Linked DNA regions of Canis lupus familiaris. The protein of the gene in region 1 interacts with the protein of each later gene in a biochemical or structural test. Links are inferred from orthologs where the notes say so. Each region holds a gene or a part of one and is shown in the gene's direction. Other genes may lie near its edges.

Region 1 (3,649 bases):
CTTAATGTCATCACTTCTTTGAACCATTGTTTTTTGTTTTTTTTTTTTTTAATTTTTTTATTTATTTATGATAGTCACAGAGAGAGAGAGAGAGAGAGAGGCAGAGACACAGGCAGAGGGAGAAGCAGGCTCCATGCACCGGGAGCCCGACGTGGGATTCGATCCCGGGTCTCCAGGATCGTGCCCTGGGCCAAAGGCAGGCGCCAAACCGCTGCGCCATCCAGGGATCCCTCTTTGAACCATTGTATTGGTGTTTTCCTTACTTGAGTCTTATGGTCCTATGATGATTTGTGAATCATTAGATATTTAGAGCTTTTTGTCATCAGCTGGTTAATGCAAAGTGTGTTCTCATTTTCTAGGTTCACCTAGAAATCAGTGATCCAAAGCTCATTTCACAGGAAGGAGCCAATAGTCCTTCAGACAGTGGACAAGGCAGCTGTGAAACAATTGTGCCCTTGAGTGATGGAGGTTTGTAATAGTGATTTTATTTTTAAGAATAGAATGTAGGAGCTTGGGTTGTAAGTGGACTGGATTAATTTCATTATCCTTTTGTTTCGTTAAATTATTCTTAACCGTATTATTTGTCTTATTATATAAACAAAATAATAGTGCTTGTAGCCTTTTGACATTAGCTATTTCTATTATGTTATTAAATGTATAAAATGTCTAGAAGCTACCACATTGCCTTGTTGCATGCATTCATCCTTTAATAAAAGGATTTTTAACATCTGCCAGAAGAATTAGAACAACTTTACACTTTGTAAATATATATAATTACATTTCTCAGTAAGAGACATTTTTCCAGGGAAAATGTTTTTCAAAACCTATTTTTAGATTTGCTTTGCTACAATCAGTTCTTAGTGGTAGCTACATAATTTCACGAGGTGACATAGCACTTGAATAATTGGATATTTTTGAAGACCAGTGGGACTAGGAGGAGGGCCGAATGACAGTAGACCTCTAAAAAAAATTGTTTCCTCCAGATTCAGATGAAGAGATATTCACGAGTAAGAAATTGAAAAGCAAGAAGGTGCTACAAGACAGTGATTCTGAGAGAGAGGACACAAATGCCTCCCCAGAGCAAACTCCCTATGACAGTGTTGAGGAGGAAAATAAAGAGAACTTATATGCCGGAAAAAATGGAAAAGTCAGAAGGATTTACAAAACTCTGGCAGACAGTGCTGAAAGTGACATCGAGGAGTCTTTGTATCAGGAAAACCTTGAAACCCAGGTGATGCCTTGCTTAGAGCGGAGTCTCCAATCTGAAAACTCTGTGGACTTCACAGTCGACAGAAAGATTTCCAAAAAACCCAAACGTGATAAAGAAGGAATTGGAGGAAAAGCAAAAGTAAAATCAAAGAGAAGACTTGAGAAAGAGGAAAAAAAGATGGAAAAAATCAGGCGGCTAAAAAAGAAGGAAACGAAAAGTGAGGTATGTTTAAAAGAACAAATTTGTTCTTTCTAAGGTGGATGAACTTAACATCTTAGAGCAAGTTGCTTTTAGTTCTTGAGGTTTCTGCACGCAGAATATAGCTTCGAGTTGATTGTTTTGCGTTGCAAGTATTGAGATAATGGAATTTAAAACTTGCTGGTCTCATTCTCCATTTTAGATAAATAGGGGACACTTCCAAATAAAGTAGATTTCTGATTTTCTTTGCAAGCGTATGGAATAACTGCTGCTTCTGATTTGATGAAAATTAACTTTCAGAGGAGAATTTTTTAGGCATCCATACGTCAAGTCTGGTTTGCTGACTAGAGAAACCATCTTCAAGTTTTATAAAGTAGTTGCTTAATAAGTATTTAATTGATTTTGCAAAAAATATATATACTGTTTATTAAGTTGGTTTTGGGCAGTAAAATCACAGCATGGACCTCAAAGGATGACTGTGGGTAGGGGCCCAGGAGACTGTTCTAAAATGCCATATATTTGTCTGTTGATGTACTATGTATGGGCTTTTCATTGCCTGATCCAAATTAGCTTATTATATTGTGGAATATTGGAGTTTGAGTGATTGGATTTAGCTTTTTTCTTTATGTGTTATCCAGGAAGATGATGTGAAACAGCCATTTAATGATAGTGGCTGTCTTCTCGTGGATAAAGACCTTTTTGAAACTGGGTTGGAGGAGGAGGAAACTAACTCTGCATTGGAAGACGAAGAGTCTTTGGAATCGATAAGGGCAGCTGTGAAAAACAAAGTAAAAAAGCACAAGGCAAGTAAAAGATGATTGCGTAAGAGCTAACCCACTGCTTCTAACCTTTGCTTTATTTTCTGATTTACTGTTGGAAGTTTTTTTTTTTTTTAACTGAAGAAAAACATGTGGCAATTGATTTAAGTTTTCTGGCTGTTAATTTTGGAATCAGGCAGTACAAGTGATAGATGTGCTAACTTGTGTGGAAGCTAGTATTTTGAGTACCCTCATAGGATGTCAGGGGGAAAAAAGTGAGCCTTTATATTGTATAAGAAACAGGTATGAATGGGGCAGAGATACAAGTTTTATTTTCCTGTGGCCTCTAAGAAATGAACCTAAAGTGTTTCTGGTGGGGCGTCTGGGTGGTTCAGTCGGTTAACTGCCTGCCTTTGGCTTAGGTCATCTCAGAGTCCTGGGATCCAGTCCCGCATGGTCCTCCCTGCTCAGTGGGGAGTCTGCTTCTCCCTTTCCCTCTGCCTCTCCCCTTGCTTGTGCACACATGTTCTCTCTCGTGTGCTCAAATAAATAAAATCTTAAAAAAAAAAAAAAGTGTTTCTGGGAAGGTATCAGTAGTGAAACATCATTGTCCTGAGTGTTTGGAAGTGCAATTATTCTTGCTAAGATTATCTTTAGCTCCTTGGGAGTTATTGGGAAAGATAATAAAGGCGTGTAAGAAATGAGAGCTCAAGCTCCATTTGAGGCAGCAAAGTTTTTTCTAAGCTTTTTTTTTTTCTAAGCTTTATAGAGATGCTATACGTTTATTTTTTTAAACATTTTTAAATATGGGGATCCCTGGGTGGTGCAGCGGTTTGGCGCCTGCCTTTGGCCCAGGGCGCTATCCCGGAGACCTGGTATCGAGTCCCACATCGGGCTCCCGGCATGGAGCCTGCTTCTCCCTCTGCTTGTGTCTCTGCCTCTCTCTCTCTGTGTCTATCGTAAATAAATAAATAAATAAATAAGTAAATAAATAAATAAATTTATTTAAATATGTCTCGAGAGAAGCAGAGACACAGGCAGAGGGAGAAGCAGGCTCCCTGTGGAGAGCCTGATGTGGGACTTGATCCCAGGACCTCAGGATCACAACCTGAGCTAATGGCAGATGCTCAACCACTGAGCCATCTAGGTAACCCGGGATGCTATATGTTTAAAACTTTATATTTAATAATTATTGACTTGTTATTAATGTAGCATGATGTGATGTTGGGATACAAAAGCAATCTTTTGAGTAGGCAATTTCCTCTTATTTCAGCTTAATTCTTTTTTAATAATGTTTTTAAAGATTTATTTCCTTGAGAGAGCGAGCGAGTAGGGGGAGGGACAGAGAGAGAATGCCAAGCAGACTCCCTGCTCAACACAGAGCCCCACAAAGGCTGAATCCCATAACCCACGAGATCATGACCTGAGCTAAAATCATGACTTGGTCGCTTAACCGACTGAGCCACCCAGGCGCCCCTTAGGT
Region 2 (3,649 bases), on another chromosome or scaffold:
AAGACAGGTTTTATCACTTTCACTTGGGCCATAAAGAAAACACCAGATATTCCTGGGTTGGCCCAGAGCTTCTCGCCATGGGAAGCATTCAACTCATGAGCATGGCCTTTCACCTCTTTTCTACAGAAGAAATGGCAACCTACCTGCGATATGTCAGGCGATTAGACTTCTTTGAAAAGCCTGACTATGAGTATTTACGGACCCTCTTCACAGACCTCTTTGAAAGGAAAGGCTACACGTTTGACTATGCCTACGATTGGGTTGGAAGGCCCATTGTAAGTATCCTGTTTTACCTCCTCACTTTAAACCAGTGCTACCTCACCACTTGACTTGCCAGACTTTCTGCTTGAGTCTGTAGAAAAAACATTCCTTTGACTGTAGACTTTACATTTGCCAACCTTTTCAGGGTGATTGCCATAGGTTGCAATTACTAGAGTTAGGAAATAAGAGCAACTCCTTTATATGTTTTTAAGATTATGACCAGTATGTCCTAAGATAGCAGAACTTAAGCCAATTCTTAAGAAGAAATTTAATTTGAATGATCCAGAAACTGGTGCTACATAAGCTGATAAGGTACTTGACTTCTACAGAGTAGATAGAACCCAGCCCCATAAGAAACTTTCGAATTGGCTCTTTTGGCCAGGGGTCCACAGTGCCTAAGAGCATGCTAACACATCACTGTAGAATGTTTTTCTTATTTTCCACGGTAAGCTACTCTCCAGTGAGCTCTTGAGGACCAGGCGGCCTCCCTTTTGCAGATAAACAAAAGACAAGAAAAGTGGAAACTGTCCTTGGTGGCTGAAAATAATAATCACTAGTGTTTTATTACAATTAGAATGATGCTCTCCTTTGTGGAGGCATTAAGTTGGCCCATTTTCCATCTGATGTTTTGTTCTGTCTTTCCAGCCTACGCCAGTAGGGTCAGTTCATGTAGATTCTGGTGCGTCTGCAATAACACGAGAAAGCCACACCCACAGGGACCGGCCATCACAACAACAGCCTCTCCGAAATCAGGTACGTGCTGGGCCTTCGTTATTTCAGACATTCTTCCTCTTCGTGGATAATACAAACACTGAAAGTCTTCAGCTTCTCTGCTTCAGTGTATACATTGAAATTAAAGACAAAGAACTTGCCATCTCTCAGTGGTGTGTTGCGGCCCTCCAGCATCCCTCAGGGCTTTGTAATGCTGCTGAGATGCAGCTGGGTGACCTACATCAAGTATCCAGTCGAGAGAATTTAGGCTTGTCCAAGTCTGTTGGCTGAAAAAAAAGTCTGCCACAGCCTTGAAAGACCTGCTGAACATACAGGATGAACAGAGAAGCCTATTTTGAGCCTCATCTGCAGTCCAGTGTGTCAATCTTGCCAATGCTGAGGGTTTTGTTGTTGTTGTTTGGCTGGTTATGAAGAGTGGGTAAGGGATGCCTGGGTGGCAGTTCCCTCAGCAGTTCAGCGCTTGCCTTCGGCCCAGGGCGTGATCCTGAATACTGGGGATCGAGTCCCACATAGGGCTCCCTGTATGGAGCCTGCTTCTCTCTCTGCCTATGTCTCTGCCTCTGTGTGTGTGTGTGTGTGTGTGTGTGTGTGTGTCTGTCTCAAATAAATAAATAAATAAACAAAAAATATATAAATATAATTTTAAAAATTTTATAAGAAAAGAAGAGTAGGTAATTTAGACTTCAGCTGACGTAGGCATAAACTGGCACCTCTCTTCCCCCTTTTGCCCCTGTTCCCAGGTTAATTCTAGAACTTGCCAATATCTGAGATGGTGTAGTGAAGACTCAGCTTTGCTTTAGGCCACTCCAGAGAAGGCCATGTCATCAGTCCTTCAGTGTTCATAGTTTGAAAAACTAGTGGTCAGTGTGAGAGGCTTCCCTCAGCCTAAAGACAGGAGAGGCAAACACACAAAAATCGACAAATCTGACAACATTTAAAGAAAGGGGTCACTGATTGGGAAGTAAAATGACGACTTTCATCTTTATATCATATATAATTGACCCTTGAACAACACAGGTTTGAGAGGTGTGGGTCTACTTATATGTGGATTTTTTCAATAAATATAGTACAATACTGTAAATGTTTTCTTTCTTGATTTTCCTAGTAACATTTTTTTCTAGCTTTATTGTAAGTACAGTATATAGTATGTTAGCCTTATTGTAAGTACATGTAACATACAAAATATGTGTTTATTGACTGTTTATATTACTGGTAAGGATTCTGGTCACCAATAGGCTATTAGTAGTTAAATTTGGGGGGAGTCAAAAGTTATATGGGGGTTTTTGACTTCATGGTGGCCAATGCACCTAACCTCAATGTTGTTCAAGAGTCAACTGCACATTGCTAAGAGAAAACTGAGGACCCTAGTAGATAAATAAACAAAGGATAATAAACAGATACACATGCGCGCACAGACACACACACACAGTCATTATCACCTATCAAATTAGCTTGTTGTCCTCACCCCTGACCTCATTTTTTAATATTCACAAATATTTTTATAATAAAATGCAAAAACATTTATCTCAGATGTACATATGAAACCACATAGCACATAGAAATACATACACATATAGGTAAAGTGAAGTATATACAAATAACAGATAGACTCACCATAAGTATATACTTGTAGCAAAATGGCTTGGTAAGAAAAAAAAGTATAAAGGAAGGAAATCTATGTATTAGTAGCTAAAAGAAAGAGTAGATAGGCAAAAAGGTAGGGGTTAGCAAATCATGTACACTAATTGGGTCCATAGTTATACGCTTTAATCAAAGTAGTTGGCTAAGAATTATGATTTGACTGACCTCTGATTTGACAACAGAGTACTGTTGACTTCTGCAGTTTTTCTCTTTTGCCTTCCCTTGTTAAAAGTATAGCTGAGTGCATAAACTGCCACTCTCATACATTGCTCTGGACTCTGCAAATTGTTACAAATTTTCCAGAAGGTAATTGGATGAAGTTACTGTTCTTTCGGATAGAAAAATCTTAGTATTTTGAATCAATCATAATAAAACAACCCAAGATCTAGATTAAGTTATGTGCATAAAATTGTTGCAGTGTGATTTGAAACAGATTTAGAAACGATCCATCTATCTAATCCTAAAGGAAGTGTTATGGATCCTGTTCAAATCTTTTATTGAATAAACTGGGCTATAATAAAGTGAGTTACAGTGTACTTATTCAGTGGAATATTATGTAGCCATTTAAAATAATATTTGGAAAACTTGTGGCAACTGAAAATGTTTATGGTTTGTAGAATGAAGAAATCAGATTGCAAAATTAGAAATACATCTTGTTTCCCCTCAGGGGAAGGGAAAACGAAAAAAATCAGCGAGAGGAGATAATGCCAATTTATTAACAGAAATAGTGTTGCAACTGATAATATTGTGGATAATATTTTTCCAAACTATTCTGTGATGAGGTTATATTCCTTATGATGAAAGGTACATTTAAATAGAAAATATATGGAAAGAAAAAAATAATTTAAGTAGTCAGTGAAGTCAGCATATCTGCCCACTCAAGTTTTCAGAATATTTCAAACTAAAATAGGTATTTATTTCCTTTAGTTTCGCTTGTCATTTCTGCCTCAGTGAATTCTTAATCAACGTTGCTGTTTTGAATAGATTTTAAAAGCAGGAGGGAAAAAAAGTAGGA
Region 3 (4,166 bases), on another chromosome or scaffold:
TACTAAGTAGGGGATTAACTGACAAATTATGGCACATGCACGTGGCAGAATACTATGCTGCCCCTAAAAAGTTTTTCTGGAAAAATAACCCACAGTGTTAATGCCCGAAATGTGAAAATGAGTTGCAAACAGCATAGAAGGAAAGCACTCACAATCTCTACAAAAGAGACAAAACAGATTGGCCAGAACATTGAATGCTAACACTGGTTACCTGTGGATGGGAGAAGTATGGGCGCCGATTATTTTTCTGATTACACTTTTCTAAATTTTCCACACTTCTAACAGTAAATGTGCATTTCACAATCGGGTCCAAGAAAAACATGAGTTAATATATCGGGTGCAATAAAACCACGAGTTAATAACCCGTTTCTGCAGCTCTGGAGCAAACCTCAAGACCACACAGCTGAGACCATCTCCTGATTAAACATCTTTAAACAACGCTGCACTCCTTTCAGGGCAGTGGACGCCCTACAGTGTGTCAAGAGAAGAGGCTCTGAGGTCATCGCGACGGCGACCCAGGCGGGGGCGTATCCCTGCCACCACCGCCGCCGCCTCCTCCTCCTCCTCCTCCGGGTCCCCCGGTGGTACCCACCTCACCCCGTTGGGCCTCTTCCTCAAGTTTTGCACCTCGCGAGTCTCTTCCAGTTTTAATCTGAAAAAAGGCAACGCACAGACTTAGAGACCCTCGGCGGAACCCAGCCTTAAAAGGCGGCTTCGACGGGTGCCCGGCCCAGATGCCGAACGGCCGGCACAATGGTCCAGGAGACGACCCCGCGCTTAGAACCACTGGGTGTCAGATCCACTGTGCATCCTGGGGACACCTCTCCCAACCGTGCGGCCTTGCGGCGGGGGCCTCAACCCTAGGAGCCTCAGTTTTTTTGTCTGCAGAAAGGGACAACAATCTCGGCTCACAAAGAGGCGCCTCGCGGGGGCGGAGTCCCACGGGCGGCTCTCTCTTCTTGCCCCTTGAAAGCCCCATCCCAAACGCACCGAACCTCCTCTGAGTCCTGCTCATCTTCCTCCGACTCCGAGTCGGCCCGGCGCCGGCGGAAACTCTTGCCGGTGACCGGCATGGTAGCGCCGGCCCCGCGGTCCCGCCGCCGCGCCCCTGTGCCCGGGCCGGGGCTGCTTCCGGCGCGTAGCAGTGCGGTCAGAGCGCAGCGAGCCCAGCGCCGGCCCCGCCCGGCCCCGCCCCACGCTCGTCTGGCCCCGCCCCCGGCCCACACTGCCCGCCGGCCCCGCCCCCAGCCGTGGCGTCCGCCTCTCCGATTGGGCGGCCGAGGGGCAGGAGGCGGGGCGCGGTCCGCGGGTCCCACGGCCCTGCGCCCTGCGGCTGTGGGTGCGCTTAACTGACAGGCGGCGGCGGCGCGGTTGCGACGGCAGGTGAGTTCCGGGCCGCAGCCGGCTGCTTCGGGGGCCGGGCCTCTCCCGGCAGGGGCCCCCCTGGCCTGGCTGCGGGCCGGATGGGGCCTGGCCCTGCCGGGTGCGCAGGACGCCGCTGCCCGGTGAGCGGAGCCCGGGACCCCCGGCCGCTGCCGCCCTCTCCCCTCCTCCGGCGGCGCCGGGGGGTGCCCTCGGGGCCCCGATGCCCCACTTGCAACCCTGGGGGGCTCGTTGCTGCTCCGGAACTGGGGGCCGCCATCTCCTATTTCTGCGGCGCCCGACCCAGCACGAGTTGAAAGCGCGAGTGCGGCGTCTGGGGGCGCTGACTTATTCCCCCAGGGTCTGGGCCTTGACGTGCATTTTTTTTCTTTAGGGATAAAAGATGACCGCCTCTTAGCAATGGTAGATTAAGGTCCTGGCGCCGACTGCCCCGCTAGTGGGGGCCTCCAGCCACTTCATCCCTGCGTCCGAGGTTTCGAACCCACTCCGGGGGGTTTGAGGGCAGAGAGAGGGCCCTTTGTCGTGTGCTTGCCGGCCGCCTCCCCGGACCTGCAGGGGCCTTGTTTTCGTCCTTTGTCACGACGACTGTCGCCCTGCCCTCCGCCTTTCCACCCCGAGGATGCTGTGAGGATTACGTTTATTTGAAAAGAAACAGGCAAACAGGCATCAACGAACCGCTTAGGAGATAACTAAATGTATCGAGGATGGCTTACAGGACTTCTAGAAACCTCTTAAATAGTTTTCCCTTTCTCAGTATAGGCCGGTCCTTTACCCCGAAAGCACTGCCTCTTACTAAGCACTGCTGTGTGGCAGGCACCGGGCTAAGCATCGTCTCTGTGAACTCCCACAATCCTATGAAGTAGATCGAGTTATTTTTCATTTCGCAAGCGAGGAGACTTTGGCTCAGAAAGGCAATAGGTGCCTAAGGTTACCCAGCGCGAAGGTGGAACAGGGATCAGTGGCAGGCCCACCTCTGCTGCAGGTTGTGCACAGTAGAAGCTCAGTAAATGTTTGCTGTAGCTGTTGTGATGGTTGGTTGGGGGGAGGCGCTGATGGAGACTGTTTTGGTTTCCTCTTCTGGAAGACCATTCAGAAGCAGGGCAGCACTTCTGGAATGCCTTCCTTTTCTCTGGAACAGTCTCTCGAGATTGCTGCTCTTTTTCCTTGGACCGAGACAGATGGACTCAGGACTTCTTGGAACAGCTTTTTGGCTTTGGTCAAAAGCCATATATTAAAATCTCAAAGTCTTGCCTTCTGCAGTCTGGTTCATCGAGCCCCAGATGCACCTGGGAATCACTGGACACCCTGTCCCTGCTGGCTGAAGGGGAGGCTCCCTGGGCACTGCTGCGGGAACCCAGGGAGTTCCATGTCTGCAGACGTCACGCTTTTCAGAGGTGGCTCTGATTTTGCCCACCCAGCAACCCTCCTACTAGGAGGTATTGGACAGCACTAAGGAGAGGGCCAGAAGGCCAAGGACATTTCTAGACCCCTCTTCTCTTCTGACATCCCAGGCAGGAGCACCTGGTACCAATGAGCTGTCCCTGCTTGGCAGGGCCAGAGTGCCCCGTGCTACTCCCCTCCTGGGTTGTGGCAGGTCTGAGATCTGTTTAGCAAAAGCAGTGCTTGGAAAGTGGCAGTTGTGAATCTGGCAGTGGGTGGCTGGGCAAAGGGGCTGCAGACTCTTTAAGTGTTGCTGGGCCTTTTTGGGGGGTGAGATGAAAGTGCTTCTCAGAGGGAGCCTCCAGGAAATTTGGGTTCTCTTTAGAGATGTGTCATGTTTTGGTTTTGACAGTGGTGGTTTAAGGAAATGTATGGGTTTGGCTCATTTTGGGTTGGTTTGCTAGCAGCTCCTTTCTGGAGTCAGACTTGTTTCAGGGTTCAGTGAACATTAATGTCTAGGTAGATTTGGGATGAAGCAAAGCCATTGCAGTTCACAGCCTGGCTGCAGTAAGTGTTCAATAAAATTTTGTTGGACTAATTTATTTATTCAGGTATTTCCTGAGCTTTTACTATATGAAGCAGGCACTGTTCTAGGTGCTTGAAGTATGCCAGGGAACAAAAGAGATGAAAGATCCCTGATCTAGTGGACTTTAGGTTGTTGTTGTTGTTGTTGTTGTTGTTTTAAGATTTTATTTATTTGAGAGAGGGAAAATGAGAGCATGAGGAAGGAGGGGATAATGGGGAGGAGTAGAGGAAGAGGGACAAGAGGACTCCACACTGAGGGCGGGGCTCTCTATCCCACGACCCTGAGATCATGACCTGAGCAGAAATCAAGAGTCAGACGCCCAACCAACTGAGCCACCCAGGCACCATGGACGTTAGGTTCTAATAACATAAGTATGTAAAGTATATTAGCGGGTGATGACTGGTATGGAAATAGAGTGAGGTGAGGGAATCACGAATAGGAGGTGGGACCGAATTGCAAATTTAAATTGATATATTCTCATTTGTGGTTAGGTCGGTAACATGATATAACAGTAGAGTGAATTCTAGGTCCTGACTCTCAGTTCAAGCCCCAGCTCTGCCAATTTACCATGTGACTCTGGGCATGACCCTTCCCTTCTCTGAGCCTCTTTCCCCACTGGAGTCCCTGTTCTGCCATTTGCTGTCTATGAGACTTTTGGCATGAACCCCTCTGCGCCTCTCCTGCTTTGCGGTTTCAGGGTTTTTCAGTCTATATTTCTGCTTTTACTTGAGCACTCCAGGGTTTGTGGCTTCTCAGTGGCCAGGGACCAGTCACTGCTTCCAGCCTACTAACCCCACAAAACTGCCAGCCTGAGGTG

The links.
Region 2: of the proteins of CLSPN (region 1) and CSNK1G1, one has a biochemical effect on the other in vitro, tested with the Homo sapiens proteins (2 studies listed by BioGRID). The link is inferred for Canis lupus familiaris from reciprocal best matches to the Homo sapiens genes CLSPN and CSNK1G1.
Region 3: of the proteins of CLSPN (region 1) and USP20, one has a biochemical effect on the other in vitro, tested with the Homo sapiens proteins (2 studies listed by BioGRID, with this or other methods). The link is inferred for Canis lupus familiaris from reciprocal best matches to the Homo sapiens genes CLSPN and USP20.

Annotation. Positions count from the first base shown.
Region 1 is NC_049236.1:6,475,306-6,478,954, forward strand, and holds part of CLSPN (claspin), read left to right. Parts: intron 1-359; coding exon 360-468; intron 469-983; coding exon 984-1,432; intron 1,433-2,046; coding exon 2,047-2,211; intron 2,212-3,649.
Region 2 is NC_049251.1:29,107,703-29,111,351, reverse strand, and holds part of CSNK1G1 (casein kinase I), read left to right. Parts: coding exon 1-275; intron 276-906; coding exon 907-1,014; intron 1,015-3,649.
Region 3 is NC_049230.1:54,096,545-54,100,710, reverse strand, and holds the start of USP20 (ubiquitin carboxyl-terminal hydrolase 20), read left to right. Parts: upstream 1-1,261; 5' UTR 1,262-1,383; exon of another isoform or gene 1,384-1,505; intron 1,506-4,166. Other genes in the region: C9H9orf78 (telomere length and silencing protein 1 homolog), read right to left, coding at 593-652, 991-1,073.